4 linked regions of the Saccharomyces cerevisiae S288C genome follow. Changing the gene in region 1 together with any one later gene gives a genetic interaction. Each region holds a gene or a part of one and is shown in the gene's direction. Other genes may lie near its edges.

Region 1 (7,493 bases):
CGATACTGAAGAGTCACCCTCAAAAAAAGATACAGCTAATGTTGATGAATCTTCCGCGGAAAACTCTTTATCAACACAGACCTACGAAGGGCCTGAGCAATTAACCTCAAGGAACTTTGTTACACTTTATGATTTTCCTAATGCTCCTCCAAATCTAAAAGATTTTAACACAAACTTATTTGGTGATCGATGGTCATACACAAATGGGTTATCCGCCACTCAGCGTCCACAAGATATGAAAACTGTTTTCCACTCCATTTTACCATCACCTCCTCAGTCTTCAGTACCGTCTCCTACCGTAGATATATCACTTGATCTGTCAGCTCTGGCAAATTTCCCATCTTTTGGGGAATACGATAAGAAAATAGTCCATCAAATCAACACAGAGATAAATAAGGATTTGGAAATCAAAATTAAAACACAGCCTCCAACGGGTGTCTTCTTAGCCAATGGTATAAGAAAAAAATGTTTAATCACAAATAAAGAATGTCAGTACTTTGATCCAAGGACTGGTGTGCCTTATTCTGATGTGGAAGCTTATAAAATTATTCAGCGGATTCAAGATCCTATTTCTAAGGAGGAGGGAAGGTCAGATATCAAGCGTGATGAAACGACAAATGAGGATAGTGACGATCAAGTGAGATTCAAGTGGTTTGGGTTCAAAAACGGCGGTATTTACCTTGATTTAAGTCAAAGACCTGCAAAAGGTGTTCCTGAAGGATTTTAATTGAGACAGACTATATAATGGTAGGTCGTTAAACATTTGACTATATTCCACACAAAATAAGAAATCATAAAGATCATTTTACATAAAAATATACTTTATACGCTCCATGTCTTATACAATCGTTACATTCATCAATTTCTGGTGAAAGCTTCAACTAAAGTTTTGAAATGATTTTCGGTCTCTCTGATTATTAGTGGTACGCTTGAATCATTATCGTCGTCATTCGCAACTTTCGTACCAACATTTTCAGCAGAATCAAAATTGTAGTTTTGTGCATCCGAGTCATTTATATTTAAATGTAGATGCAATTGCTGTAGGTTATTGTATAAATACATGTAATTTGTAGCCAGAAATCTTTCTGGTGATTTCGTCTTTTTACTGCACTTTGTCATGACTGTTTCGAAATCATTTCTTAATCTAATGATGGAATTGTATAAGGGTTCAGATCTTTCGTCTATGGACTGCTTATGTGTTATTGCCAACGTCAAGAAGCTTGATAAAAATTTACCGAACTGTACAGTTAACTCATGAGGTGAGGTCAAAGGGCTACTATTGGATGTGCTTGAGTTGCCGGCATATTTTGCCACATTTGTAGTTATTGCCGCTTTTCGTAAGCTCTCGCATTGAAAATCGACCAATTGCTGAAATCGAGGCCATAATTGAATTAATTGACCATTCAAGAAACTATCAAACATAGACGGTATTCCTCTCCTTTCTGATTCAAATTGTAATTGATTGGCCACACGAATACTTATTAATACACCAAAAATGTCATAATTATATTGGATCAGTTGTTGAGTGTATGTTGTGGCTTCATCAAAAGTTGGTTGAAATATTTGTTCCAATAAACCATTAATTTCCTCAAAATTATCGCCATTCATAGCGAAGAAATCTTTTAAAAAATGGTACTCCACCGTACAGTTATCTAAAATTGCAAGGTTTAAATTTTTAAATCCAATTTCAATGTAGTTTTTCGTTGTGTTATTTTCTGCAATTTGGGATACCATTACCGTATTGTCTTCTTGTGTTAAAATGTTCAATCTTTTCTTTATCTGAAAGTATTTATCAATTTTCTCATCTGTTACAGGGAGTTTATTATAGAAAGCATTTGAAGCGGATGTAGTTAGATAATTTGAGAAAAACAATGATGGTGAATTGTTAAACCCACTCACTGAAGTTGTAGAAAGGCCATTACCCAATGCAAATTGCGAGTCGATTTGTTGAAATTGCAAAATAGTCAATGACCTGATATATCTAGAAAAGTATTCTCTATAATACCATTTCATTGTGTAACAATATGCCTGTCTTAACTCAAGGGCTAAGGAGAGATTATTATCTCTTATGAAGGGGAAAATTTTTTGAACTTTTAATAATTTGTTTTGTATCCTTTGCGATGGTACTGGGTTATGACTCCTCAAAGTTTTGATTTTGGAAATAATAAGTCTTTTCGACCTTTCTAGAATAACATTTTTTAGGATGTCCAGGAGTTGACATAACTTATCAAAATCCTTTGGTGCTAGCATTGCTGAATTTTCTGCGTCCTTGTTGTCTTGATCGAGATTATTGGACCTATACTTGTTATAAATTTCTTCTTTATCTGCTATGAATGTTATATTATCCTGCCAGCTTTCATTGATCTTCCCTTTAATGATGTCATCAATGAGTTCAGGAGGAATCATCAAATCATTAACCATAGGAGAGATATGTGCCAGTTTAGTGGAGTTGTATTCGAGCAATGACTGTAATTCATTGGACTTTTTTTTAATGAAGTCTAAATCTTGTGTGTAATTTGATAACCTATTAGTGAATTCGGTTAAGTAATCAATCAATTGAGGAATAATTATATTAATAGCCGCTTCATTGTTAGAATGAGTTTCCTGTAATGATTTAAGTTTAGCAAATGGTGACTGATCTTTGTTTGAAGGCGCTTTAAATTTACAATCCTTCAAATAGTTTTCAAAAGGATCATCCGTTTCATTTGTTTTATCTCGGCTCGTTTCCTTCAGCTGGTCAAATTTATCTTGGTCTAGTGACAACACCTCTTTGAGAACATCCATAGTTCTATGTCTTCAGCTAATTTTTTTACGCTTTTGTTGCTTATAGCTTATTCCTCTTTCCTCTCACTTGTAAAAACTCTTGATATACCTTATATTTTTTCGAACTATTCTCGGAATACGCTAATGAGAATAAAAATATTCGAATCTTTAAAAAAAATGTGGATTGCCTCACTTATATGTTTGATACGCAGTCCTATGTGTACTTAACCAGTTATAAAAATAAAATATAAATAGAAAGTATAAAGTCAAAACAAAGAAACAGTATGTTCCAAGATTTCTACTCACGGAATTTTTTCCAGTTTTTTGGCTTTACCAACCCTTGAGCATCATAATATTCCTTACCACAAGAGTAACCTTGGAAAGTGAAATCATTACCTTGGTCACATTCACAGTTGTTACTGTTATAGACCTCCTTGTCCAATGGGCAGTTATCATAAGGTGGATGATGGTAACCAATGTCTGAAAAATAATGGATTTTATCCTTTGGCAAAAACAAAGCAGCAGCAATAGAATGAACGGGAGCATCGCCCCATCTTTCGTAGAAAAATCCACCTTGATGATCCAAAGTGTCAAAATACTCTCTGTAGGCTGGTGACCTCCACAAATTCAAGTTTGCAATTTCAAAGTTTGACCAGAAATGGCACAGATTGTATGTTTTACCATTATCGTTCGAAAGAAAACTCATCAGGTTGTTTTCATCTAAGTATTCGGGGTTCTTTTTGATGAAATCCATGGACGTTTGCCATAGTGTTGGGATCGTCACTTCATATTCATGAATAGAAACGGTAAAGCCGTAAACTTTTTCGTTTTCTTGCATCCACTTAAAAACGTCGTAATTAATATCACAGTATAACTTGATGTCTGGTTCCACACGCCAGTACCAATCGTACTCTTCTAATAATTCATGTCTCCAGAAAAACCCAGATTGGTAACGACACATGTGTCTATAAGATTCGGAGCCACCGTATATGTATTTGGTGGCAGCATCTGCACGAATTTCAGCAGCCTTGGTTTGATTAATCCATTCAGGATATGACCAATGTTCCTTGGGCAAAATACCAAACTTAACTTCGGAAGAAACAGCTTTGGTGACTGCTTCCTTGAATTCTTCAGTAAAAGGTTCATCGTTTAGGAAAACCCAAGGATATGGGAATTTCTTGTTAATTTTGTTTTCCACATATTTAATGGAGCTTAGCAAACCTTTCAACTCCTTGTTTCTCACCAAAGTGACGTAACAAGCTTTTGGCTTACCAGCTTTGTTAGCAAAAGATGGAGTGATATAATCCATGGTTGTTTTAGTGTCGATCGGGGCATCTGCCTTTTCAGCGGCAGCTTTCAGAGCCTTGGATTCTTCATCCATGGCTTCGGAGTCTTCGCTTGCCTCTGAATTCAGAGCACTTTGCTCTAATTTTTTAGCATCATTTTCCTCAGAGATGACTTGTTGTTCAGGGGATATAGATCCTGAGGTAAAATCAAATGCAGCGGAGATGGAACTCGGAATATATTGCTGAGTTCTACTGTTGGAATTCAATGTTAGGAGGAGAACAATAACCGCACCTGCAATGACGGTAAATCTCAACAGTCTCTTACTGAGAAAGAGGGCCATGCTTTCGAGTGGAACTGCTTGCGAATATGGATATCACTTCCAGTATTATAGATTCATAAAATGTATAAACGAATTAAATCGCAAATTATCTCCTTTTCAGACTGTTTCTTCACCAAATTTCTTTTTTTTTTCCTACTAGAAGAAGGCGTAGCAGATAAGAAGGAAAAATTATATTAAGCGTGCGGGTAAAGGCAAGGAAGAATCAAGTAAGACCTCAAGAATGGCACTATAAGTGTGGTATTATAATCTGTGTAATCCTAATTTGAGCTCTACACAATACCATTCGACGGTTAACAGCTACTGCATCACCGTCCAGTCATGTCGTACAACGGAATAGGGCTCAAGTCGGCAAAAGGGTCATCTACGTCGGGCCACGTGCAGCGATCACTTGCTAGCAACAATAGGCGCAGACCACAGGGTAGTCAACAGCAGCGGCAACAACGACAAAATGCGATCAAAAAGGCCAGCCATGACAAGGCAAGCAGGCCTCTTGCTGTGCAGAAACAGATAGAGACTCATATGGAGAAACGTGAGATTGAAGTACAAGTTAGCGAGCTACGGGACCGACTGGAGGAGGAAGAAACGCTCTCGGAAGAGCAGATTGACAAGAAATGTGAAGCGTTGAGGGCAAAACTGACGAACGAGTGGCAAGAACAGCAGCGGATGTCCTCTTTGTACACCCCTCGTAAGGCGCGTCTAACGGAAGAGCAGCATCGACATGAATAGCAGCATTGACGATAGCGATAAGCTTCGCGCGTAGAGGAAAAGTAAAGGGATTTTAGTATATAAAGAAAGAAGTGTATCTAAACGTTTATATTTTTTCGTGCTCCACATTTTGCCAGCAAGTGGCTACATAAACATTTACATATCAGCATACGGGACATTATTTGAACGCGCATTAGCAGCATGATGACTCACACATTACCAAGCGAACAGACACGTCTTGTTCCTGGATCTGACTCGAGCTCTCGTCCTAAAAAGAGACGGATCTCGAAGAGATCAAAGATAATAGTATCCACTGTGGTCTGTATTGGTTTGTTGCTGGTTTTAGTGCAACTGGCATTTCCAAGCAGTTTTGCATTACGTTCTGCATCACACAAGAAGAAGAATGTCATATTCTTCGTGACGGATGGGATGGGACCTGCGTCTTTGTCCATGGCAAGATCATTCAACCAGCATGTTAATGATTTACCTATAGACGACATCCTGACACTTGACGAGCATTTTATCGGGTCTTCGAGAACAAGGTCCTCGGACTCACTAGTCACTGACTCAGCTGCGGGCGCCACCGCATTTGCATGTGCATTAAAGAGCTATAATGGGGCCATCGGTGTTGATCCGCATCACAGACCTTGTGGTACAGTGCTCGAGGCGGCTAAGTTAGCAGGTTATCTCACTGGGCTTGTTGTTACGACAAGAATCACAGATGCCACTCCGGCTTCATTCAGTTCACATGTTGATTACAGATGGCAGGAAGATCTTATCGCTACGCACCAGTTAGGCGAATATCCTCTGGGGAGAGTAGTAGACTTACTCATGGGTGGCGGCAGGAGCCATTTCTACCCTCAAGGCGAAAAGGCTTCTCCATATGGTCACCACGGTGCTAGAAAAGATGGAAGAGATTTAATCGATGAGGCTCAATCTAATGGCTGGCAGTACGTGGGTGACCGTAAAAATTTTGATTCTTTGTTGAAAAGCCACGGTGAAAACGTTACTTTACCTTTCTTGGGTCTCTTTGCAGATAACGACATTCCTTTTGAAATTGACAGAGATGAAAAGGAGTATCCTTCCCTTAAGGAACAAGTCAAGGTGGCTTTGGGTGCCTTGGAAAAAGCTTCCAATGAGGACAAAGATTCTAATGGGTTTTTCTTAATGGTGGAAGGCTCCAGAATTGATCATGCTGGTCACCAAAACGATCCAGCTTCGCAGGTAAGGGAGGTGTTGGCTTTCGATGAAGCATTCCAATACGTTTTGGAGTTTGCTGAAAATTCCGATACGGAGACTGTTTTGGTCTCTACGTCGGATCATGAAACGGGTGGTTTAGTCACTTCAAGACAAGTCACTGCTAGCTATCCTCAGTATGTCTGGTATCCACAGGTGCTCGCCAACGCCACCCATTCAGGTGAGTTTTTGAAAAGAAAACTAGTAGATTTTGTTCATGAGCATAAGGGCGCAAGCAGCAAAATAGAAAATTTCATCAAACATGAGATCCTGGAAAAAGATTTGGGTATTTACGATTACACGGATAGCGATTTAGAAACATTAATTCATTTGGATGACAACGCAAATGCTATCCAAGACAAACTGAATGACATGGTATCATTTAGGGCCCAAATTGGCTGGACCACGCATGGTCACAGCGCAGTCGACGTCAACATATATGCATACGCCAATAAGAAAGCTACATGGTCATATGTCTTGAACAATTTACAAGGCAATCACGAAAATACGGAAGTTGGCCAGTTCTTAGAAAACTTTTTAGAATTGAACCTGAACGAAGTCACTGATTTGATTAGGGACACCAAACACACATCAGATTTTGATGCTACAGAAATAGCTAGTGAAGTACAACATTATGACGAATACTACCATGAGTTGACCAACTGATCCTATCTAACTCTCCCTCTTTTTTCACATATTATTTAATACGTTATAATTTATTTGAATATATATATATATATATATATGTATATATACTAACCGCATGACACGTACTGTATCGCATTTCGTTTCGGAGTGCAGGCGAGTTTTAGGTGCATTCTATAGCGTGAAGAAGTGAAATCTCGTCATTTCTTCAAGTTATGCCATTCAGTCCAGATTGTTTCACATGCTTTCATATAGTCATTTTTGTCGTCGCGAACTTCAAATTTGAAAACATCATCATACAGAGAGATTTCTCCAATAATGATCCTTTCTTTGTCGTTGTCATCATCGGCATCGTCGTTAAGTGAAGCGCCCTCACTTAATGAATTTTTCGTGACAGAGCATTCAATGTCTTCATCAGTCTTACTTATGATTGGGTCTCCGTTGTGGTGTTTGGAGACAAAGGTTCTTTTTCTCGATGTCAAATCTTCCAAGTGTGGTGATCTACCAGCCAACTTCT
Region 2 (7,907 bases), on another chromosome or scaffold:
ACCTTTTACAACAAATATTTGAAAAATTACCTCCATTATTATACCTTCTCTTTATGTAATTGTTAGTTCGAAAATTTTTTCTTCATTAATATAATCAACTTCTAAAACTTTCTAAAAACGTTCTCTTTTTCGAGATTAGTGCTTCTTCCCAATCCGTAAGAAATGTTTCCTTTCTTGACAATTGGCACCAGCTGGCTACTCGTTGCTCGAAAACTACTCTCTTTTATTTTTAATTTACGAACGATTATCTTTCGAAGGAACGACCAAACGAGCTAAATATGGGCATCGCCAACGTTAAAAAAATGGACCCTACCGAAGACGTTATTATGCCAAGGCGCAGCGAAGAGTCTTTCTCCTTGAGAAAAAATATGCATGAAACAAAATAGACAGGACCAGACCCTCTTCGGGAAAAAAAGTCAAGATTTAACACGTGGCTACACCGGCTGGCTTACAACCAACCAACATAAGATCAAACAACCCTCAAGTTTAGAAAATGCCTTAATAGCAACCTCTAAAACCATAGACTTCTCCATTTTCACGTGCTAAAAAAGTTCGGGTATGATGTCATACAAATCCTTTCAACAAAAGATGCTTCAAGATCAATGGCACTCGAGATCATAAATCCCTGCAGAGCAGCGGCTCTGCATATAGAATAACAAACAAATCGTATTTTTCCCGAAGCCAAGAAAAAAAGGAGACTATAACCTTTCAAGCCAGACGGAAAACTATCTGCCCAAGGACAAACTGGCATGGGCTGCTTCAATGTTCGGCTACCTTTTTTCTCTTTTAACGGGGTTTGGTATTTTTTTTCTTTACTTCATAAACGAATGTTAAACGACTGTGAAAAAGCCATCCCTGGATTATGCGAGAGTACTCTCAGGGCACCCGTCCGTTTAAAGACCCCAGGCCAAAATAAAAATTTCTTGAAGGAAAAAAATACACAGGGCCTTGAACTGAATACAAAGCCATCTTTTTTCTCGTTTGTCAGCACGTCCCAGAAAAACGCGCAGCCGTAGCTCTTGATAAGTGGCTTCTGCGTTTTGCAACGCTTTTCTGATCTCATGTTTTCTTATGCTGCGGGACATCATTGTCGTTGAGAAAAGTTTCAATTTCAAACGAACTGCCTACCGTTGCATTCTCCTTGGAGAAGGGCCTGAGTTTAGGGGAATCACGTCTGGCTATTACATGCTACATCGTGCAGTAGCTCCTACATCGCTAACAGGCAAATCCTACACCCTCTTTAAATCGTTTATCTTTTATATATTATCTGGCCTAAATTTTTACATATAAATATTTATCATATTATGACAGCTCAAATGAATTTCCGGCACCAAGTCATATGAGCACTCGCTACTGTTCGAAGAACAAAAAATATAAAGCTTCTACAAAATTTCCAGATGTCCATAGGTTACAAAGACAACTTGATGTCAACTATTCTAGCTAAAGATAGGAAATGTGAATTTCCCATCAATTTCGAATGTTCGCCCTCCCAGATAACTCTTATGCCTGAAATGTTCTCTTTTAACAATGAAAGGAAATACCAAACCCTGATACCCTTGATGAAAACATCACATCTAATTGATGATGACTTGAAAGATAAATTGAATAAGTGCGCTTTCGATTTTTTCTCCGGAAAACAAGCGAACAGAACGAGTGACGGGACTATTTCAAGATTAACAGCAAGTGGAAAAACGTCACCGATACTGCCATTGCAAAATATTAATATTGTAAAAGCAGAGAATACCGGTAACGGTAAATCAGATCCATATAGCTCAATTAAAATAAGCAAACCGACAAAAACCGTGATAAAATTGAAATCTACGAAAACCAATACAGCAGGACAGAGGACTCGTCATTTCTGTAAGATCTGCTCTACTGGGTTCACCACTTCTGGTCATCTTTCAAGACATAACAGAATCCATACAGGTGAAAAAAATCATATCTGTCCGCATGAGGGCTGTGGACAGAGGTTTAGTAGACATGATAACTGTAATCAGCATTATCGAACTCATGCAAACAAGAAGAAAAGAAACTGGAAGAGGAGGGAGGCTAGCAGTTGATGTGAGTGAGCTCAGCCAAAAACATTTAAATATTCAAATAACGTACAAATAAAAGACTGATAAATAGTAATAAAACTAAGCGGGTTAGTAATACTCACCAAGAACAATAGCAGGAACGATAGTCGGTTCTCTTTCGTAATTTTTTTAAGTCACAACCCGGAGGGACGTGAAGTTTCAAACCTTATTCATTCCGGGATTACCCTCTCCTGTGATGACGTTTAGGCAATAAGGACTAAAAAAAAAAAAAAGAAATGCTATGGCAAATTTTATTGATAGAAGTGGTAATGATGATGGAAGGGCTTTTGAGCAGGTGAATAGAAGGTAGCTAACGGAAAAGAGTTATTGCACCCTTAATATAATGAATGATGAAATTAATGAGCCACCGCCCAATATATGTGAGCAGTGCTTAGGTGATGAGGCTAATATACGAATGACTAAAATTCCACAAGGCTCTGAATGTAAGATTTGTACCTTACCGTTCACCTTATACCATTTTAAGACGTCTAAACGAAGCAATAATATCATTAAAACATTAATATGTGTACGGTGCGCCACTCAGAGAAACATTTGTCAATGCTGTATGCTTGATTCAAGATGGCACATCCCTATACAACTGCGGGATCATTTAATATCCCTTGTGAACGAGGAAAACGTTATGACGGAGGAAGCAAAAAACGACATGATGAAAAGGTTTCTGTCACTAAAAAACGTGAAATTAGGAGGAGCTCAGATTACGAGTGATCCGTCAGAAGCAGATAATATCGTTGATAAATTGAAAAATATACTTCTGCGAGCAACATCAGATGGCCCAAGTACTCCGTTAATAAAAAACACAACTGCATTGTATAAAAATGAAAAAGGTGCAAATGAGGTCAAAAACTTGGAAAAGTACGCGTCCGTGGACATTTCTCATATTTTGAAGAAACTACCCTTGAATGAATCGTTTTTAAAAAACCCCTCCACCAAATCATTTTTTCTGTATAATATTGATGCCTCGATCCCTGAATGGAAAATAACTGATACAGTTTCGCAATTATTGGGTATAAAGAAATGGAAGGATGGAAATTCATTGTCATTAATAGTCAACCACAAGGCGAAGTGTGGTGGCCTAAGATTTCAATCTAGTGAATTGGGGGAGCGGTTTGTCAGTAAAATAAGTGAGACACTTGTCACACCAAAGGGCCTAAAGAGAGGAGTTTTACTTATTGACCGTTTTAGAATCTTTATCATTCCGTGGTCGTCTGGCTTTTCAGCTGCGTCATTCGGAACCAACACTGCAGAAAATATAAAACTTAGTTTAAGTTTGAATAAGCTTATTCAGTTGGAGCTAGGGCTTTCTTTTCCTACAAAAAGCACAGATAACGCAAAGAATGACAAGAAAAAGACATCAAAAAAAGTTCATAAGGACAGATCAAAGAAATCGAAACCTCGCGCTAACAAGTTAACAATATAGATGAAACGTAAGAAAAATCATGGGTTGAAGAAACGAACTGTTTGATCAATTTCGACCATCCATCTACCTTGCAAGTAATAAACAAAAGCAGGTTGAGTGGGGAACTTTATCTAAGTTGATCAGTATATCTGACAAATTTATACGGAATGCTGCAGTTTGGATTAGCACGAACATTTTATCTGTACGGTTTGTCGCTTTTAGCTGCTCGGGCTCTTCCTCTCGGTTACCGAGATGATAACTCGGCCGAATTTTGTAAGTACAAATAAAAAGAAAGTGACACAATTCTAAAAGTATCACTATAATTTATTATTTTGAGAAAGATAAGGTTCCATAGGTACATGATATATTGACTGATTTCTGATAGCTCTTTTTTTTCCAATATCGATAAAAAACTAAAATATGGAGGAACTAGGTTTAAAAAGCACTTTTCCATATGAATATGGCTCAGACTTTACAATGATAAGAACGGAAATGTTAAATACTACGAAGAGCGAAACAACTATTTTATTTTCCAATATAAAGAGCATTTTGGCCATTATTTGGAAATACTCATTTACATTTTTAAGATCTTTTTCCGATTCCATCAAACTTATTATTGACGATGTTGTCACTATTGGCTCCCGAAATTTTGCAGAGAGATTACAGATTGAAGCGAAAAAAAACAATGACCAAGAAGATATCTGGGCATCCACAATAATTTTGGGTGTGATTATCGGGTATTTAATCTCTTCTATTAAGAGAAAGAACACTTTTCCAATAATGCCTACGAGCTCACCTAAAATAGATGATTGTAGGTTCAAGACTGGTGATACCATATCCATTGTAATAAACTTTAATGAAGACTGCCTCAATAATCGAAGTGACGTTACCGAAGAGAGAAATTATGAGGAATCCACAGTTTTACATTCAAAGGAGTCAGTTCTCAGCATTGGTAGGCAAAATATGGTAACTTTGAACCAAAGCGATGAAAATTTCACCTATGGCAATTTTGATGAGTACGACTTATTAACTAAAGATTATACAACAGAGGTCTTAACGCGATCACCTGGCTCGAATCCCGAGTTTAAAGCAGTGGTAAATAATACATTACTTGATAGCGCGAATGAAACGCCGTTTAAAGGTATTGAAAAAAGTATTAACGAAACAATGGTTAAAGTTCCTATGGGATGCGATGTATCTCTCTCCCATTATGGCAGACAATACGCGCCTGGAAATATTTCAATTATGAGAAGCTTCACTGCTCGAGATAATACTAAATCTGTGAGTAGAGAAATTCGTGATATCTGTAAATCGTTTTTGATTATAAAAAGCCAATTTGGTGACGAACTTTTCCTGACTATGTTCATGGAAAAACCAGTTTTCTTTGATAACAACATCCCAATTGAAATAACTGGAGCATACCGAGAAAAACGAGAGCGATTAGATGAAGTGATTCATAAGGATCTTATCCGCTATGATGAAGTTCAAAATTTGACAAGGATTCGCAATTTGCTCCGGGTTAAAAGTCAAAAGATTTGTTCCAGGAGACATAATAGTTCGGTTCCCACAAAAAAATTGTTAGTTAATGATAAAGGCGCAACTTCGATTCTACTGTGGTACTCTAACTATTCATAGATAAAGTTTATTTGATACATAATCCGGAAAATGTAAGATATGCCAACTGTTAACTAGAAAACATCTGTACTCTATATATCGGAAACAAAAACTTTACGGGTACAACCATGATGAATAAGCTCGAAATTTTTGCCTTCCATATGAGTCCCATTTTGGTGACCAACTCTCCTACCCGAATTACTGTGATGATATATACTCTTCGTTTTCTAGTAATGGCTTCATTTTGCCTAAGTTGGTCAAAATTGTTGTGGGCGGCTTTTGTTTGCACCGAGGAGCGCTCAGTTCGTTATAATACCAGTTTTGCCACTCCTAAACTACTAAAGAAATAATAGAAAGATATATTCATCAAACATAATCACAATCAAAAAAATGTCTACATATGAAGGTATGTAATGATATATTATGAAGTAAGTTCCCCAAAGCCAATTAACTAACCGAATTTTAATCTGCACTCATCATTAGATTAGAGGAACATGGAATACAACAAAACTCAAGGGATTACCAAGAAGTAGGAGGAACTTCACAGGAGGAGCAGAGAAGACAGGTCAGATCCCAACTGCAAGGTCTATTTCAAAACTTTGGTAACACCAGTGGTGAGGGTGATGCACATTCAGATTCAACACTACTTTTACGATTATTATCGCAAATGCTTCCAGAATCATTACAGGAAGAATGGTTGCAAGAAATGGATAAAGGCAAGAGTGCGGGCTGTCCTGATACTTTTGCAGCCTCTTTACCACGAATCAATAAAAAAAAGCTCAAAGCAACTGACAACTGCTCCATTTGTTACACTAATTATTTAGAAGATGAGTACCCCTTAGTAGTTGAATTACCTCATTGCCATCATAAGTTCGACTTAGAGTGTTTGTCTGTCTGGCTATCTCGAAGTACAACATGTCCATTATGCAGAGATAATGTTATGGGCCACCGAATCATTAATGAGATTGATACAACTGAAGCAGAACTGGAAGAAGATTGGGGTATGTACGGTTAATATCTTTCTTTTATATTATATAAAGACACCAAACCTAAGTAGAATAGGTAACTACGTCTTCTTTCACAGAAGACAGACCTACAAGTATTTTGATTATCATGATGAAGTAAAAGCAACGATAAACTTTTTACTAGGTATTATTATTCTGCGCTAACAATAATTATCGCGAGTTGAAAATTTTCAAGCGATGCTCCTAACATTACTGTAAAACAACAGTAGATGAGTACAAGGCAAGCTTAAAAAGAAAGTATTCAAGATGGGTAAGAGCAGCAAAGATAAAAGAGATTTGTACTATAGAAAAGCAAAAGAGCAGGGCTATAGGGCTAGATCTGCTTTCAAACTACTTCAACTCAATGACCAATTTCATTTCCTGGATGATCCAAACTTAAAAAGAGTTGTAGATTTGTGTGCAGCACCAGGTTCATGGTCACAAGTGCTCTCGAGAAAACTGTTTGATGAAAGTCCCAGTTCAGATAAGGAGGACAGGAAAATTGTCTCTGTCGATTTACAACCGATGTCCCCCATACCTCATGTGACAACGTTGCAAGCCGATATCACTCATCCTAAAACATTGGCGAGGATTCTAAAACTGTTTGGCAACGAAAAGGCCGATTTTGTTTGTAGTGATGGTGCACCTGATGTTACTGGGTTACACGATCTTGACGAATACGTGCAACAACAGTTAATTATGAGTGCGCTGCAACTTACTGCATGCATTCTGAAAAAAGGTGGAACTTTTGTGGCAAAGATCTTCAGAGGTCGTGATATAGATATGCTATATTCCCAATTGGGCTATCTATTCGATAAAATCGTTTGCGCAAAGCCAAGATCATCAAGAGGTACATCTCTGGAAGCTTTTATTGTTTGTTTAGGCTATAACCCACCATCCAATTGGACACCAAAATTAGATGTAAATACATCCGTTGATGAATTTTTTCAAGGCTGTTTTTTGAATAAATTGTGTATATCAGACAAATTGTCTCATTGGAATGAAGAGGAGAGAAACATAGCCGAATTTATGGCTTGTGGAAGTCTTCAAAGTTTCGACTCAGATGCCACTTATCATGACCTACCTTCTTCGGTTGCAGGCACTTCATCGTCCTTAGATCCTGTTCAAAGCCCGACGAACCCTCCCTACAAGAAAGCTTTGGAATTAAAAAGGAGCGGGAAACTCACTAGATCAGTTTGATTGCAATATTACTACCTCTAATCAAACAATTAAATAAGTCACTACATTATAAGATTATCTACAAAATCAACTTTTCCTTGCAATCATTAAAAACGATATAGGTTACGGTTATGTAGAATATCCATTGTATAATATAAAAGAAAATGAAACAGTAATTATATTATATTATATTACATGCAAGCATTGAGGAGTATGGCAATCATTTTTCTTCTTTTTTACTTCACCTCGTCTCTTAAAACATCTGCTTTCGAATTTGCGAGTAATAGAACTTTCGAATTGTGACAGAACCATTGAGAACATGGTGAATCTGTCAATATTACAACCCAAAAGCCGGTTGGTGGTAAACCGTAGTACGGAGCATTACAAAGGATTCCATCGTATAAATTATGCATAAGCATCACCTTGATCCATTTGCCTTGCTCCTATTGCCCTGCTTGTTTGTAGGAAAGCCCCTTTTGGTCAAACGAATTGTTCAGTTCGGGTTTACGCATTACATATCTCCTTTTTAGATACAAAAACCTCGAAACGCTCACATAAACCCGGTTGTTCTTTTGAGTACCTGGCCAATGGAGACATAGCTTGGGGTTAAGTAAAAGT
Region 3 (8,073 bases), 1.3 Mb from region 1:
TTTCAAAGAACTGAAAAACCCTGATTTCTTCTTCTTCTTCTTCTTCTTCTCTTTACCATTGTCATCTTTCAAATTAAACTTATCTTCATCATCATCGTTTAAGTTATGGTTGATAGTGTTCCTGCTTGACTTTGGAGAAATTATGTTTCCAGCGCCACCTCTTCCAATAGCAAATTTTTCCGGTGCGCTTTTGCCCTTGAGCTTATTTTTAGGCTTCTTGGACGTGGACTTGATTGCCGCCAAAGCATTGCCATTGGAAGTCACCACAAACAGGTTGTCCTCGTTTGCATTGATAGTATCCTCATCCTCGATATTGCCGCCTCGTATCTCATCCTCTTCATTTCCACCATTGCTGGCCACCTTTTTTTTGTTGAAGAAAATGTTTCCTGCCCCACCTCTACCAACGACAATTGGGGCGTTGTTGTTCGGAGACGAAGTGGTGGCATGCAAAGACTGATGGCTCCTTGTAGCGCTGATACGAGACCTGGTGTTGGTCACCGGGTTTGACCCACCTTCATCCACCATATCCGAAGTTATAGGGGAAATATAATCGTCGATGTCATTGATCACGTCGTTATAGTTGATATTGTCGTTAGAGTCCAGTTGTTGGGCGGATCTCGTCAGGTGCGGATCATGAAAGATATTACCGGCACCACCTCTACCAATTGCAAAACGAGGAACCTTTTCCTGGTTGCTACCGTTATTATTGTTGTTTGCTACTGTCTTTGAATTGGATTTCAATGGAAGAAGTACGGGAGACGGCTTGGACATAGATTTATGGATGTTGCCAGCTCCGCCTCTGCCAGTGGAGACCTTGTACTCTTGTACACGTGCCTGGTTCTCCATCTCGTTTTGTGGGTTGAACGTAGCCATACTAACTTGGTCTTACGCTACTGCTGCTGCTAACGCTGCTGCTGCTTTTGCTCATATGCTTCCATTGACCGTCATTAGTATCAGCGTCAGCCTTTTTGACATAAGCCACCGCTCTGTCAGGGTAACCCTATGAAACATTTCAAAACGTTATAAAGGAACTCGTCTGGTTACAACAAGGAAATATCACTACAAACAGCTGTCCGTACGGCTCCTCAACTCTCTCAATGTTGTTCGCCTGGTCACACACAGCATAGTTTCGTCATTCGGCGCCGACGGTCGCTGTCTCTTGGAGCCTTCAAGCTCTTGTCAACCCAGGTCCGTTGTGCCGATAAAAGTAACAGCAGACCCCCACGCCCGCATCCCACTCTCTTCTCCGACCACCTCCCTCGAAGTTCTTCCCTGCCAATCCCACGTCGATCCAGCGTAGTTGGCCCCAACTGGTGCAGTAATAACCGCTTAGCGATTTTGCACTCGGAACTACATATGTATATATATATGTGTGTGTGTGTGTGGGCTGGAAAGATTTCTTGAGCTTCCGTGTTATAGTGCAATTTAAATATTGTACATCATTCCGATCCAGCTGGAAACAAAAGCAAGAACAATGTTGTGGAAGCGTACTTGCACAAGGCTAATAAAGCCTATTGCACAACCTAGAGGAAGGCTGGTGAGAAGATCATGCTACAGATACGCCTCAACAGGCACAGGCAGCACCGACAGCAGCAGCCAGTGGTTAAAATACTCTGTCATCGCCTCTTCAGCTACTCTATTCGGTTATTTGTTCGCTAAGAACCTCTATTCTAGGGAGACTAAGGAAGATTTGATAGAGAAGCTGGAAATGGTCAAAAAGATCGACCCAGTAAATTCTACGTTAAAGCTGTCCTCATTGGACTCACCAGACTATTTGCACGACCCGGTTAAGATCGATAAGGTTGTTGAGGACCTGAAGCAGGTGCTGGGAAACAAGCCTGAAAACTACTCTGATGCGAAATCCGATTTGGACGCCCATTCAGATACCTACTTCAACACGCATCACCCCTCTCCCGAGCAAAGACCTAGGATTATATTATTCCCTCATACTACCGAAGAAGTTTCCAAAATTTTGAAAATATGTCACGATAACAACATGCCAGTTGTACCCTTCTCGGGCGGAACGTCCTTGGAGGGGCACTTCCTGCCTACAAGAATTGGAGATACCATAACCGTAGACCTGTCCAAGTTTATGAATAACGTCGTAAAATTTGACAAGCTGGACCTGGACATCACCGTGCAGGCCGGTCTACCCTGGGAGGATTTGAATGACTATTTGAGCGACCACGGTTTGATGTTTGGCTGTGACCCTGGTCCAGGTGCACAGATTGGTGGTTGCATTGCTAATTCTTGTTCAGGAACCAACGCCTACCGTTACGGTACCATGAAGGAGAATATTATAAACATGACTATAGTGTTGCCGGACGGGACCATTGTCAAGACGAAGAAAAGACCCAGAAAGTCGAGCGCTGGCTATAACTTAAATGGTTTATTTGTGGGAAGTGAAGGTACCTTAGGTATTGTTACTGAAGCTACTGTCAAGTGTCATGTCAAGCCCAAAGCTGAAACTGTTGCGGTGGTATCCTTTGATACTATCAAGGATGCGGCCGCATGTGCTTCTAATCTGACTCAGAGTGGTATTCATTTGAACGCCATGGAGTTACTGGATGAAAATATGATGAAGTTGATCAACGCATCTGAATCCACGGACAGATGTGATTGGGTAGAGAAACCAACTATGTTTTTCAAGATTGGTGGGAGATCTCCCAACATTGTCAATGCTCTTGTGGATGAAGTTAAGGCTGTCGCCCAGTTAAATCACTGCAACAGTTTTCAGTTTGCTAAAGATGATGACGAAAAATTGGAATTATGGGAAGCTAGAAAGGTCGCGCTATGGTCTGTGCTAGACGCTGATAAGAGCAAAGACAAATCAGCTAAAATTTGGACAACTGATGTAGCTGTTCCTGTGTCGCAGTTCGACAAGGTTATTCACGAAACTAAAAAGGACATGCAAGCTAGTAAGCTGATCAACGCCATTGTTGGTCATGCAGGTGATGGTAACTTCCATGCATTCATCGTCTACAGAACCCCTGAAGAACACGAAACCTGTAGCCAACTTGTTGACAGAATGGTCAAGAGAGCACTGAACGCAGAAGGCACTTGCACGGGTGAACACGGTGTTGGTATTGGTAAAAGAGAGTACTTGCTCGAAGAATTAGGTGAAGCACCCGTCGATTTGATGAGAAAGATTAAGCTAGCTATTGACCCAAAGAGAATCATGAACCCGGACAAAATCTTTAAAACTGATCCAAACGAGCCCGCTAATGATTACAGGTGAGTATCTGATTTTCCTTTTTCACCCTTCACGTAAACCTGAAATATATTTCATGTAATATATATAGTTCATCCTTAAAGAAAACATACCATTTCAAAATGCCCTTTCCCAGTAGCTAATACATGCTTAAAAATGTGATATATATTATTACCATCAAATGTATTCATGATCCGGGTAGTGCCTTTTTTTCCTTCAAACACTAATGGGATGGGAAGAAACATTTCGAAAAAAGTTATGACTATTGGCAGCATCAGAGAGAATTAAACCTTACCTGTACAACGATAGCAGCTTACATCACTTCCTCGCAGTCATGGAAAAAAATACGGCACCATTTGTCGTCGATACGGCACCCACAACTCCTCCAGATAAACTTGTAGCACCTTCTATAGAGGAAGTAAATAGTAATCCCAACGAATTAAGAGCTCTTAGAGGGCAGGGTAGATATTTTGGCGTAAGCGATGATGACAAGGATGCCATTAAAGAGGCAGCACCTAAATGTAATAATTGCTCTCAAAGAGGTCATTTGAAGAAGGATTGTCCCCATATAATATGTTCGTACTGTGGGGCGACGGATGATCATTATTCTCGACATTGTCCGAAGGCTATCCAGTGTTCAAAGTGTGATGAGGTGGGTCATTACAGGTCACAATGTCCACATAAATGGAAAAAAGTTCAGTGCACTCTTTGTAAGAGTAAGAAACACTCAAAAGAAAGATGTCCTAGTATATGGAGAGCATATATTTTAGTAGATGATAATGAAAAGGCTAAGCCCAAGGTCCTTCCCTTTCATACTATATACTGTTATAACTGCGGTGGAAAGGGGCACTTTGGTGATGATTGCAAGGAAAAACGATCATCTAGAGTACCTAACGAGGATGGAAGTGCGTTCACTGGTTCTAATTTGTCAGTTGAGCTAAAACAGGAATATTACCGTCACATGAACAGAAATTCGGACGAAAATGAAGACTATCAATTTAGTGAGTCCATATACGATGAGGATCCACTACCGAGACCTTCCCATAAAAGACATTCCCAAAACGATCACTCTCATAGTGGCAGAAATAAACGTAGAGCATCGAACTTCCATCCTCCTCCTTATCAAAAGTCTAATGTCATTCAACCAACTATAAGGGGCGAGACGCTGTCACTCAATAATAATATTAGTAAAAATTCACGGTATCAAAATACAAAAGTAAACGTCTCGTCGATATCGGAGAATATGTATGGCTCCAGATATAACCCTTCTACTTATGTTGATAATAACAGCATTTCCAACTCTTCCAATTACAGAAACTACAATTCTTATCAACCATATAGGAGTGGTACCTTGGGGAAAAGAAGATAACTTTAAATAGGAAGCCCTTTAACAAGCTGTTCTTGGTTACATTATATTTTCTTAATGAAAGATTAAAGACAATACCTAATTCGACCATTAATCAAAATAGCATGTAAATTTCTTACATCTTCTTGTTGTGAAAAAAAAAGGCCTTCGTGCAATCACAGGTAATAATAATAACATATACATACATATACGTAAATACGTCTTATAACTCCTGCTACCTCATACGCTATTTTCTATTATGGCTAACATCTATGCAACTCAATTTAGTCTCTTTTTACCTTTTTCACAATGAATGTATAAAGGTCCTTTTCATCGTAATCTAACCTTCTTTTTTGTGCATTTAAACCGTCATAATCGATTAGAGCAAGTTTGTCGACAAACCGATCTTTTCTATTTAGCTTTAGTGAATCGCACAGTTTTATTCTTCCTAACCTGCAGTTTTTGAAAAATTCGCCTTTAAGAACAGTTATCTCTCCTGCCATTGATGTTACCACCAAGTGAAACGTAAGGGCGCAAACATTGTCTGTGCCTACGTCTATATCATTAATTATAACAATTGTATCATTAATCAATCCGAAATCATGGGGTATTATCCGAATAGTATCCTTGGAATTCCTTAACAAATTTTTGGTATTTTTTATTTCAAATCTATTTATCAACAAAACTCCATGTGTGTCCAATATAAAGCATAAAGAATCATCCAGCATAAATAATTTCTTGAATGAACATAAATTTCCCAATGCCTGCTTGAATTGAGCTGTCTCATCATCTATCACTTGGCCATCCACCTTCATTTGACTTTCTGCCCACTCTTCTTCATTAGTTCCATTTTCAGAGCCATTTTTGTTCGATAATGAATCGATTTTAATTATTGGTTCATCATAGTACCGAGGTCGGAATGCACTCAACGTGACGAAATGATCGATGCACACAATGTCCATCTTTTTGTAATTATCTGTTAGAAAAGAAGTCATTGTTTCATCACTTTCATCTGTAGTGTTATCATCTTCATTCACCCCATCATTTCCATTTCTATGAGAAATCTTTTCAACAATTTCAAAATCTACCATAAATGTATTCCTTCTTAATCCTCGGATAAAAGAATCTAATTCCCACTTCGTTGAACAGGGTACATCCATTCTTTCTCTAAAAGCGTCTCTAGTTAAGGCTTGAAAAGATTCTCTCCTTCTTCGACTCAGCGGTCTCGGTTCGCTGCTAGCAGTACTGAATGAAGAATTTCGGCGACTACTTCCCAGCATATCTTGAGTGTGGAATAACTCATATATGTCATCTTTAGCGTGACCTTGACGCTGTTTCCAGACGATTCCTGAATCCAGCATTCCTGTTCCAGAATATTTTACAATATCATCCCAAATGGTTGAATTTATAATATCCGTATCGAATGTAAACTTGTTACTAATCCAGCTGAACAAAGAACCAAATCCATTTTGTTGCGCTACGTTGTCCCACGAAAGTATCTCACCGCATGTATCTCCCTGTATACTGTTCTTTAGGCTGATAAAGGTGCTTAAAAATGTAACATAAGTCAATGGTAAAATTATTTTCCTTATAAATAGTGGTGATCGTGGCGATACTGTCATGAAACAAAACCGGTCTAATGGATTTATATGGAATGTGGAAATACCTCGTTCTATATGTAAATACATCGAAGGCCTATATATGGGCAGGCCTTGATACATATTGCAAAACGAAGATACCACGGGTGACGATCTTAAATGGGATGGTTCTATAGGCAAAAGGAAGTAGCAGATATGCTTAGAGCATGACCTTCCAGTGTACCGCGTACTACCTTCAAATAATTTTTCTTCTTCTGAAGAATGTGTTGTATTATTATCGTGATGTACTTTGAAAAAGCAATCTGGAAACATGGGGTTGTACATGTTCTTATACTGAATGTAATCAGTGGGAAGGTTCATTACAAAGACATATATTCGACCGGAGCACATACAACAATATAATAAACCTTGACTATATTCAAGACCAGCGATCATATAGTCACTAAAAAAATTGGATTCGAAATCTTCCGGAGTACATCTAAGGATATAAGAGGGCGCTAATCGCAGGCCATTTTTTATCTTGTATTGATAGTTGCTTATGATTTCAATGAATCCGTTGGATTTAGCCAGCACCATGTAATCACATGAGTCCAAAATATGCGTTGCGTCTGGAGATATTGACGTGTCTCTACCATTAGGCCTTAAATAACAAAACGCTTGTATATTTGCATTCACATCTACTTTTGTACAACCTCTTTCTGATGGGACCAGTGCTAATCGATCGTTTTTAAATTCAAATAACCTATAACCAGACGGTTTACCCTTAGTATTGCAGGGAGTAGAAACAGCAAATTGAATCCTGCCAGTAGCCATCGATAACAAAATGTTCAGATTATGTGGAAAGACGCTTTCTGCGTGTATTTAACAACTCAAAGTAAAACCTATCTTAACCTGGTTTTGTTCTATTAGATGCCATTCAACTATGGGGAAGGTATATTTGGATGTTTGTTAGCAATTTTCAGGAAGGCAAGTACTTAATACCGATCAGCTTACTATTGTTTTTGACCTTAGAGCTCTTTTCAACAAAGCTTCGCATTGTGAAAAGCAGACCCAAAACGGCAACTGAGAAAATACGGCACTGTGGAAATAAGTCATGCATCAATCATCAGCTGTAAAAAACCTTTAGAAAAGACATTATACAGATTCTTAGATAGGTATTGATGTTTGGTATTACTATTTTTTGGAGAAATGAGTAAGAATGTTGGTAAGCTAGTGAAAATATGGAATGAATCAGAAGTTTTAGTTGATAGAAAATCGAAATTTCAAGCAAGATGTTGCCCATTACAAAATCAAAAGGATATACCCTCCATACTCCAAGAACTAACGCAAAACAACAAAAGCGTCTCCAAGGCATCCCACATGCACATGTATGCCTGGAGAACGGCCGAGGTATCAAATAATTTGCACTTACAACAAGAGCAGAAAAAGAAGGGCAATAAAGCAAATAAGAGTAATAATAGTCATGTTAACAAGTCAAGGAACATAACGGTGCAGCCAAAGAACATTGAGCAAGGATGTGCTGACTGTGGCGAAGCTGGTGCTGGACAGCGTTTATTGACCTTACTTGAAAGAGCAAACATATTCAACGTCTTGGTAATAGTGACCAGATGGTATGGTGGCACGCCTTTGGGCTCATCAAGATTCAGACACATTTCAACATGTGCAGTGGAAACCTTAAAGAAGGGTGGATTTCTTCCTTAAATATCACCCTTACCATATAATATACACAATTGTAGAATATAATATTGATAAATATATACATATGTAGATAACTATAAAACTTGGCATTTTATTTTCAAATGTATTTGTAAGGGTTTAAAATTCCATTAGGATCATAATGAACCTTCAAATCCTTCATCATCTTGACCTCTTCCGGGCTCTTAGAATAGCCAATGTAATTTTTCTTTTGGAAACCTAGC
Region 4 (9,628 bases), on another chromosome or scaffold:
CTTCAGGGTCTCCCCTGATATTTTTTTTTTTTCAAAAATTCCTTTTTTTTAAATCAAATTTTGGGCTCAATTATGGACAAATGAAGCACATGCAAAGAGTTAACGCGTGCGACTGAATAGAACAACTCTTTCAGCATCGCAAACCCTTCAAATTGTGAATAAATAGGCATTTCAAGTAACTGTGTCAGCAGCACATTGCATAGGAATTCTGATTTTTTGTTTTAGTGACTGCCCTCCTAATTTTTTTTTTTTTAGTTTACGGCTATAGCTAAATTTGGAGCTTTCTTTCATTAATTTTCACCGAGCTATTAATAACCCTACAAAAAGAGCAGAGAGGTACAGCCTGATCCGATAAAGCAGTGGGATAAAAAGTACTCAAAGACTATTTATAAAAAGTTCAAAATGGATGCAGGTTTATCGACCATGGCAACAAGAAACGGTCAGTCTTCTGCTAGAGTTAAATTGAGAAATAACCTCTTGAATAATGATATAGGAAATATTGACATTAGGGATGAAACACCTATTTCAAGGAACGGGAATGACAGCAATATTAACATCCAGCCTTCTTCCGTGCCGCAGCAGCAGCAGCAGCAGCAGCAATACTACCGTAATGGCATGAATGAGGCTCCAATACAAGCGCCACTTCAACAACGTCAAATTCCCATGCAGAATTATTCACAACAGCAACGCCAGCAACAACAGTATAATTTTGAGTATTCCAATCCACATATGAATGAGATTCCCCTCATGCAGCATAACTTCACCAAACCATCACTAAGCAATAATCGCGATAATGTTAATGGTAAGAAAGCTTCCTCATTTACCCAGAGCTCATTTTCCAATTTTTTCAAACATAAGCATCAATTTGGGAAGTCAAAGAAAAACACTAAGGGGACAGGAGGTGGTGGAGATGGTGATGATGACGATGAGGTTATCTTGGATGATTCTGCAAACTCCGACCTAACATTCAATGACATTCAGACCTTCGGTCACAAGGGCGGTGACAAATATGGATATGGTGGTGATTCCACTCCTATCATTCCAACATTGGTGACTAAAGACCGCGGCAATATGAGTAATACTGAGTATAGGAAGTACATTACTAATCAAAGGAAAACCGCAATGAATGCCATGGCTAAACAAACTAAAAATGGTACATTAGCCTCGTTGCCTCCGAGAGCAATGTCTTTGCAAAGTTTCCCGAATGGTAATCCTTTAATGCAAGCACCCACTCCTCATCCTAGATTTCAACCGAATAAAATGGTGAGCGCTAATTATTCGAGATCAAATTCGTTGATGAGTGGACCTCCCGGACAATTTCGACAGCCGCAGCAACAAAGAATGCTACCGATGAACAACTACAACAATCACCCAGGTCAATTCCAGAATACCCCACCAGTAATGCCCTCTGGACAACAGCCACCTCAGCAACCACGTACTCTGTCATTAACTAATGGCCCAAGATATTCACCCCAAAATCCTCGGCCATTCGCAGGTCATCAGCAGATATCACAAAGACAACAACAACAACAACAACAACTTCAACTTCATCCAATGTCTGAAGGCTATCGGACAATGTCTCTACAAAGTCAGAACGTTCCCCAAGGGTTTAATCCATGGTCACCAAATGACAACGATCGTAAAGCTGTGTCCATGAAACAGCCAATCAGTCAATCGTCAATTTCCTCAAAGAATAATTCAGCTTATTCAATACCGAACGTACAAAACAACTCCCTGACTACATTCTCTCCGTCATCTCCTACTGATGCTACAGCAATGCCTAACTCTACAAAACAAGGATCTTCACCACTAAAAAAACAAGTGAACATTGATCAACCTATTGAAAACAAGGGAAAACTGAATGTTTTGCAATTATCCACTCCTCAACAAAACGAGTTAAAGGAAAAAGAAAGGAAGCTAGCTGAAATGGAAAAATCTTTACGTGAGAGAGAAGCACTAGTAGAAGAAAAAGAAAAGGAAAGAGCTGAGAAAAATACTGAAGCAAATGAAGAGGAGGAAATTTCACATGAATCAGACGATTTAAATTTAAGACCTGCGAGTGCGCTAGAGACTGGTTTAAAAGATCTTAAATTGGAAAGTGAAAGTGCAGTCGCCAATAGAGCGTCCTTGTCGACTTTCTCATCCACATTTAGTGATTCTCCCTCCAAGCAAAGAATCATCAATACCAGAACAGGTATGTATAAGCTAGAAAACTCTACTGATATCAATGAATACGTGACCGCACAAGAATTCCCCTCTCCCGGAAAGTATAACTCAAATTCGGATAATGGCGAAATGAATACAACGAACGAGGTCGATTTTGATTTCAATACTAGTAAAAGGGCTTCTTTGTTACAATCCATACCGGAAAGAGATCCCAAAAGAAATGTCTCAGATGCTACCATTAAGCGACGTGAATCCGATGGCAATGGCAGGAGACTAAGTAATGTCAACATATCCATGAACCAGGAAAACATCAACAATGATACTTTTCTATATAAAAAAAATAATCGCGATGGTCATTTATCAGCAGTTTCTCATATGTCCAGCTCTTCCCGTAGATCGTTCATCTCCAATACGCTGCCGTTGAATATTGATTCCGCCTCAGAATCTGATAATTTTGTACCGCATATGGATGGTTCACCCTCCAAAACAAAATCAGCCCCAGTTAGCTACGATAAGGATGGCATGAATGCTTCAGAAGAAGACTTCAGTTTTGATAATACTTTAGCCAAACCGTATGAACCGTTATATGCTAGGAGAGGAGACATAACTTCCGCCGGATCAACTAGTGGAGAAGATAGCTCTCAGCCAAAGATGATAACAATATCTGGTGAGCAATTGAATTTGATAACAGAAAACAAAGAATTAATGAATGAGTTGACACTGGTGTCTACAGAATTAGCAGAATCGATAAAAAGGGAAACTGAATTAGAAGAAAGAATACGGCTGTATGAAACCAATAATTCAGCACCATCTTTTGACGATTCTTCGAGTGTGTCTTTTTCTGACTTTGAAAAGGAACTGAGAAAAAAATCCAGTAAAATTGTGCAATTGATCCAGCAATTAAATGACGAGAGATTAAAGAGATTCATTGCGGAGGAGCAGTTATTACTCCAAGAAAATGGCACCAAACCAAGTTCTATGGAACTAGTAGGAAGAATTGAAAACTTGAATAAACTTATTGATGAGAGAGATTCAGAAATTGAAATGCTTAAAGGACGTTTACAGTAGATGAATGATGTATTTTATTGTATATATCGCTTAGTGCACCAAAATCATACTACGTAAGTATAAAATCACTTTACACGTAGAAGATGCTTTTTCAGATTGTTCTTGAAAAAGTTGAAAAAAATATAATTCACACTCAGCAACAGGTGAAAGTGTATAATGGGTAAAAAAGGAAGGACAGAAGGTATATTGCTAATCAAAACGACTTTGGTATACGCGTTTGGGGCTACAATTGCATTTTAAATATATTTAAGATGTTTAATAGAAAAAGAAGAGGAGGTATGTTTTAAAACCAATGTTTTCCAGAAGTTTCGTTCTAGAGTGTGTATATCAAGACCAATTAGGATGGTATTTCCATTTTTTGTCAGTTAGTACGGTGTGACAGAAAAGTGTACTTTTGTGGCACAGAGAAGTGGAGAAACGGTACACGTAGAATACATAACGGCAAGTAACCTCTCTTATTTTACTCTCCATCTTTACTTTGTTTTACATTCCTAGGATTATTAGGTTAGCTTGGTTTTACAAAAACTCAATTATTCAGTTTCATTCAAATTACTAACATACCCAACTTTGACTACCTTGCATATGATTTTACCGTTAGACTTCGATGAAGATGAAAATTACCGTGATTTTAGGCCTCGCATGCCTAAAAGACAGAGAATCCCACCTGTTGTACAACTGTGTAAAGAAATGATGCCCGATATTCGCACTATTGGTGAATCTGTTAAAGCTTTTGAAGATGATATCAAATTCTTGAGTGAAGCTATAATGAATGAGTATGGCCATGAGGACTACTTTAATAATGCTTTACTGAGCACTTTAAACGCTGTTGTTGTGGAGCAACCACAGAAGCAAGCTGCTATCGCTCTCTTAACCATGGTTGTTAATTCGAAAAATAATGTTGCCGGAAAGAGTATTATCAATTACTTCTTCGAAGAATTACAAAAATGGTGCAAGCAAACATATAATGATGAATTCAAGAGTACGTCAAATGAAACTGGGCCATGGAACAAGATCAAGTTAATCCTGAGATTTTTATCCATTCTATCGCCCATGTTTTTAGTTGATGAACTAATCAATATCTACAAGAGCTTATTTGAATTGAGTATCGAATTAAACAATCTGGATCCAGGTAACAGAGTTCCTTTATCTGAAGCAATTTACACCAATACATTATTAAATATCCCGTATTTGTTCTTTTTTAATAGGAATAATGACGGTTTGAGGACAAAAGTGGAGGAGTTACTTGCATACGTTGAACAAAACTATCTAGTTAAAACAACGGATATAAACCTATTAAGAGAATACAATGGTGAACCTCCATATGAAATGGTAGAACTTGTCCGAGTCGTATTACCAAACGTCAAGAAGGCGCTAATCAATAACTTGGAACAGCTGAATGAATTATTTCCTGATTGGAATCATTTATTAACTCCCCAAACCGGTGATGAAGGGTTCAATGACGCTTTAACCCTTCCATCAGTAGATGATCTAAAGTCTTTCGTGCGCTTGAATAAAAACTTTGGTTCAGTTGATAGCATGTGGAAGACACCAAGGTATGCTTTTCATGTTTACTTGCCAAACTCCGCTGGTAATTTCGAAACAGTTGTACCAATCAGCACTTATGCTGGTCAATTATTCAACGATATCATTATTGATCTGGTGGAAAGTTTAGAATTCAATAGAAAGGAAGTAGCTAGACAAGTGATAACTTTGGATCTTTTTTTCAAAGCAGGTATATTTACAGAACCTGGTGAATCTATTGCCCAATTAATTGCCACTTATGAAGAGAACCCATTGGCTCCTACATTTAAGATAGAAGATTTGGCTATTGAAACCATTTTGGGACTTATTTTTAAATTACCTAGTGTTTCCCAGCCTTTTGCATACTTTTACACTTTATTGGTGGATATTTGTCAAAATTCTCCAAAAGCAATTGCTCCTGTCTTTGGTAGAGCCTTTAGGTTTTTTTATAGTCATTTGGATTCATTAGATTTTGAACTAAAATTAAGATATTTGGACTGGTTTTCAATTCAAATGAGCAACTTTAATTTTTCTTGGAAGTGGAATGAATGGGAAGACGATTCGATCAAATTTGGCAAGTATTTTTATAATCCAAAGGTAAATTTTGCTAAAAATTTGATTCAAAAAGAACTACGATTGACCTCTAACTTTTCAGAAGTAGAGGACAGCCTACCACAAGAATTCACGAAATATTTGGATACTTCTTACATTCCAAGAGATCAACTGATTAACTACTATCAATCATTATTCACCGGTTATACGGTAGAAGAAGATTCCGTTAGAAAAAATGATCTATATTTTAGACAAGAAGGTGTACCTATGGAAAACACAGTCCGTAAAATTTTAGATTATACCCACAAAGCAAACAATTCTAGGGAAGTTACTGAATTAGAAAGTATTCTAGGTGAGTTAAAGAATGAGTATGGTTCCATAATTTCCGACTTTAACAGATTTGTTATCATATTGTTAGTCCAGGCCGTTACAGACTCTGGTAGTAGATCTTTATCACATGCTAATAAATATATTAATGATTTAAAAGAAGATCTCAAAACCATATTTGCGAAGATTGAATTGGATATCGAGACAAAAGAGTATATCATAATTGAAGCCGTCCTAACATTTTGGAACGCCAACCCTCAGACAGGTTTCTTAGTAGCAGATGCATTCAAATATGCAGGTTTACTTACTTCCAGAACCATTTTTACATTTATATTTAACGAAACTGGTTTGAAGAATAATGGTTTGATTGAAGCTACAGCAATTGAAGCGGTCTTTAGAAATTTATCTCAACAAATCTCGGAAGAGAACGAAAGTGGAAATAATTTTGAGTTCGTTTTCGAAAGATTATGTACCATCGCCAACAGTACTATAGACTTACTAGATGTCAATGCTGATGAAGATATTGAGATACCTAAAGTCAACGGGGAAATGGACATCGACGATATTGAAGATGATAAACTGGATTTGAAATGGAAATATTTTACAGTGATTGGGTTTATTAAAAGTATATTAAGAAGGTATTCCCACGAATATCGTGAGTTAGCAGACAAATTCATTGCCAACATTGATAACGCTATTCCACACGAATCCACTAGGAGAACAATTTCGAATTGGATTCAAGAAACAAAGGAAGTTTAAAAAGATTCGGAGGATGGACTACATTCGTTATCACTCCGCTTTTTAATTTTTAATCAATGTTACATACCTAGCGTAATTTTCCTATATATAAAATATCAGCTTTATATAAATATATTATTGAAACTGTACCTATAATAATAAATTTAAAATTAAGTAAATACAAATGCTTCAAAATTTGTTAGTATTGTTTTCTTCAATCATCTTTACTTAATTGTCATCGCAATAATTAAATTAATATTTTATTGTTGTTGCGTATATAATACAACCTGAATGGTATGCTACACTATGTTACACTATGCTATTGATCAGAGTTTCTAATGACGAATTACACTTCTATAACTATCCGCTTTGGAAAGTTTGAGACGAAGGGCGTTACAATCAGAATCCGTATCCAAAGGATGTTCTTCAGAATTAGTCAGATCTACACCTGATGAAACATGCCTTGCGACAGTACTTATGCTACTTTCTCTAACCAAATGTGTAGGCGGTTCGGGAAAGTAATGCATATCATCCTGCGCGTATTCGTTTTCATCAAATGGGTTTATTGAATATTTTGATTCAGTTCTTCCAATGTTATTTGAACTGCCATTTAATCTAAAATTATGTAAATTTGCAAATGAAGTGTCTCTTGTTAATGACACTTCACCGAAATAGAGACAAAACTTAACAAACTTTATGAACTGGTCTCTAGTAACGTCCTTCCCTGAAAATCTAATTGTTTCATATAAATCGATAAACTCCTTCGCCTTTTCTAACTGAATTTTATTGGCGTTGTGATTAACAAATTGTGAGTTCACCACGTCGGCAAACGTATCTTCTAGATTCATTCTAACATCTAAATTGTTCAGAAACAATCCATGGTATTTCAGTCTATCTGTTAAACTTTTTATACAATCAGCATAGTTTAGGTATTCTGGAAATAACTTTTCATCTAATGGGTAGTCACATCTCCTCGGGGGCTCAAGTCCGTCGTGAATAACAGGGTCTTTAGGTTTTTTGAGAAGAATTGTTAATTCTTTAGATCTTTCCATGTTCTGCAGTACTGCTTCCCTACTAGAACGATGCGGGAGATCAGCAGGTGTGATCGGAATATATCTTCTTGGTATATCTTTTAAACAACTCTTATGAAATAGCATTCTTCCAATAATAATAAAGATACAAAAAACGCCAAAGACAACTAAAGCGCCTACAACAATGAACGTATTAAAGGCATTGTTTTCTGATTTAGAAGCTTGTGCAATGGAATCTATGGGTAAAACAACTGAAAACCCAATCAAAAGTATCAAAGAAACGAAAAGGGAAGCTTTGTATAACCACGACTTGAGTTTTGCGAATCCGGACATCTACTGCTAAGTATGGACACTCGTGTCTATAGATAGTATCAGGCCAAAGTTGTATAGCGGTATCTTTTTTTGAATAAATTTCAATGTGTTTTCCTCTGTTTAACCTCCCACTTTCTTTGATGCTCAAGAGCAATAACTTTATCGCAAAATAACAAAACTTTAATATGTGTTGTAATTTTGGCTAAACCCAGTTCAACATCACCACAAAAGAAGGTTTCCTTTATGCCCTTACCCTTTCTGCCTTCTTATTCTAGAATTTGTTTTGATGCTGTATTTGTTTGGTCCTTGTTCGTCATCGAAAAACCGGCCCAAAAACGGCTAATAAAAACGTGAACCTGTTTTAAGTCTTTTGCTATAAAAGATATTTATACTCTAAAAAAAGGGAAACTTTTGCAGCAAAACAAATTTTATGCATTAGTTCTCTGTTCTTAACTTGGTCAGACAAAATTCGTCCGTTTGTAGTTGTCTGTACAGGAATTCATCGAGCGATATTCTATCCTGAAATACATATGCCATTAAGTTACATCCTGAATAGATTCCTAGTCATCTATCAGCAAATATTCATCTTTTAATTTGAACCAATTCCGTTTTGTTCCATGTAGTTTCAACCAGCTATTCAATGACTGCAAGTAAATTTGGTTATTCTCCCCAATACAGTTCAAGTGCTTCAAGGTCAAAATAACATCATTGACTCTCATTCCAGTCACGATGGAAAGATCCTCCAGGGTCACTTTATCATAATGGGCGAGGTCACCTTCAATAAGGTGCCAACAGAGTATCTGTGACCAATATTTCAAGTACCCGATTAGTCCAAAAGGTGATAACGGTACTTCTGGCCCTGATATTACACCTTCTAATTGGGATAGTTTGTATGAAAACTCGATAAGTAAAAGGCCTAATCCACGTCGTTGATATGGGGGAAATATCAAGATGCACGCTAGATTATTTTGCTGATATGACACTAAATCTTTCGAAAAGAATCCCATCGGCTTTGTTGATCCAGTTTCATAAACTATGTAAAATTCATAATGATCTACTTTGAAATACATGGATTTATTGTCCAGATATAGCTTAGTGAAAAGACAAAGACATTGGCAAAAGAGTTGATACTTGGATCCTTTTACTCTTCTTATTGTATATTCAGGACTCTTGTATTTTATTTTGCCTGGAACACGATATTGAAATGGACAACTTGCAACATGTCCTACAAACCGCGTCTGATCATCCGTGTATTTGAAGCAGTATTCACAAACGAAAAGAGTGTCTAGCCAGTATTGGCTGTTAGAAACAGAGGAAAGCTGACCCTTGGTCTCGGAGCACCCTAGCCTTTTTGTTTCAGGATCGAAATAAACGGCGCTCCCATACCAAGTAGAGAATTTTTTATTCAGTCCAAACTGAATCTGTCTTATGTTCCTTTCGTTCAGTATTCCATATAGCATCTCTTTTTGAGTTTTTTTAATTTTTGCTGAGGGCTTATTCTTGCCTTTTCCACCATTCTTCTTTCCTTTTAGCTTCTGGGTAGTCGCTGTGAGTGATTGACTTAAAGATCTTGCCATTTTTTTTGCGAGTGAAAACAAAAAGCAACTAGAAAATAGGAGCCTCCAATATCAAAAAATCAAACTTCAATTTAACAGATTCTTAGAGCGCTACATACTCTATCCAGTTCGATATGGACAAGACTTAATGATTTCATCATCTCTTCTGATTAACGATTCTGTTATTCTTCATATTTACGCGCCTAACATATCATGATGATTGGGTGTTCCGAAAATTTTCATTGGCGATGAGCTGAGTATTGAAAGCTCATTATAGTATTAGTATATTATTGTTAATAGCAAGTGCTATATGCTATAAAAATGCAATTACAACCCAATACTAATAATAGAGTGTCT

The links.
Region 2: mutations in CWC21 (region 1) and ECM2 are lethal when combined (synthetic lethality), as found in Saccharomyces cerevisiae (2 studies listed by BioGRID, with this or other methods).
Region 3: of CWC21 (region 1) and AIR2, changing one suppresses a phenotype caused by changing the other (phenotypic suppression), as found in Saccharomyces cerevisiae (2 studies listed by BioGRID, with this or other methods).
Region 4: mutations in CWC21 (region 1) and STO1 are lethal when combined (synthetic lethality), as found in Saccharomyces cerevisiae (2 studies listed by BioGRID, with this or other methods).

Annotation. Positions count from the first base shown.
Region 1 is NC_001136.10:1,418,054-1,425,546, reverse strand, and holds CWC21 (U2-type spliceosomal complex subunit CWC21), read left to right. Parts: upstream 1-4,708; coding exon 4,709-5,116; downstream 5,117-7,493. Other genes in the region: VPS72 (Vps72p), read left to right, coding at 1-727; VPS52 (Vps52p), read right to left, coding at 859-2,784; alpha-1,2-mannosyltransferase KRE2, read right to left, coding at 3,062-4,390; alkaline phosphatase PHO8, read left to right, coding at 5,297-6,997; DIG2 (Dig2p), read right to left, coding at 7,177-7,493. UniProt on the Saccharomyces cerevisiae protein: Involved in pre-mRNA splicing. May function at or prior to the first catalytic step of splicing at the catalytic center of the spliceosome, together with ISY1. May do so by stabilizing the catalytic center or the position of the RNA substrate.
Region 2 is NC_001134.8:364,190-372,096, reverse strand, and holds ECM2 (Pre-mRNA-splicing factor ECM2), read left to right. Parts: upstream 1-2,418; coding exon 2,419-3,513; downstream 3,514-7,907. Other genes in the region: NRG2 (Nrg2p), read left to right, coding at 1,398-2,060; CNM1 (Cnm1p), read left to right, coding at 3,913-5,127; YBR062C (uncharacterized protein), read left to right, coding at 5,497-5,512, 5,595-6,121; tRNA methyltransferase TRM7, read left to right, coding at 6,378-7,310. UniProt on the Saccharomyces cerevisiae protein: Involved in pre-mRNA splicing. Facilitates the cooperative formation of U2/U6 helix II in association with stem II in the spliceosome. Binds to RNA.
Region 3 is NC_001136.10:140,991-149,063, reverse strand, and holds AIR2 (TRAMP complex RNA-binding subunit), read left to right. Parts: upstream 1-3,545; coding exon 3,546-4,580; downstream 4,581-8,073. Other genes in the region: PAR32 (Par32p), read right to left, coding at 1-873; DLD1 (D-lactate dehydrogenase), read left to right, coding at 1,475-3,238; GID12 (Gid12p), read right to left, coding at 4,841-6,967; YDL177C (uncharacterized protein), read left to right, coding at 7,343-7,855; DLD2 (D-lactate dehydrogenase), read right to left, coding at 7,950-8,073. UniProt on the Saccharomyces cerevisiae protein: Component of the TRAMP (TRF4) complex which has a poly(A) RNA polymerase activity and is involved in a post-transcriptional quality control mechanism limiting inappropriate expression of genetic information.
Region 4 is NC_001145.3:514,054-523,681, forward strand, and holds STO1 (Sto1p), read left to right. Parts: upstream 1-3,485; coding exon 3,486-3,510; intron 3,511-3,832; coding exon 3,833-6,393; downstream 6,394-9,628. Other genes in the region: EPO1 (Epo1p), read left to right, coding at 403-3,234; DLT1 (Dlt1p), read right to left, coding at 6,708-7,736; SAS2 (histone acetyltransferase), read right to left, coding at 8,276-9,292. UniProt on the Saccharomyces cerevisiae protein: Component of the CBC complex, which binds co-transcriptionally to the 5'-cap of pre-mRNAs and is involved in maturation, export and degradation of nuclear mRNAs.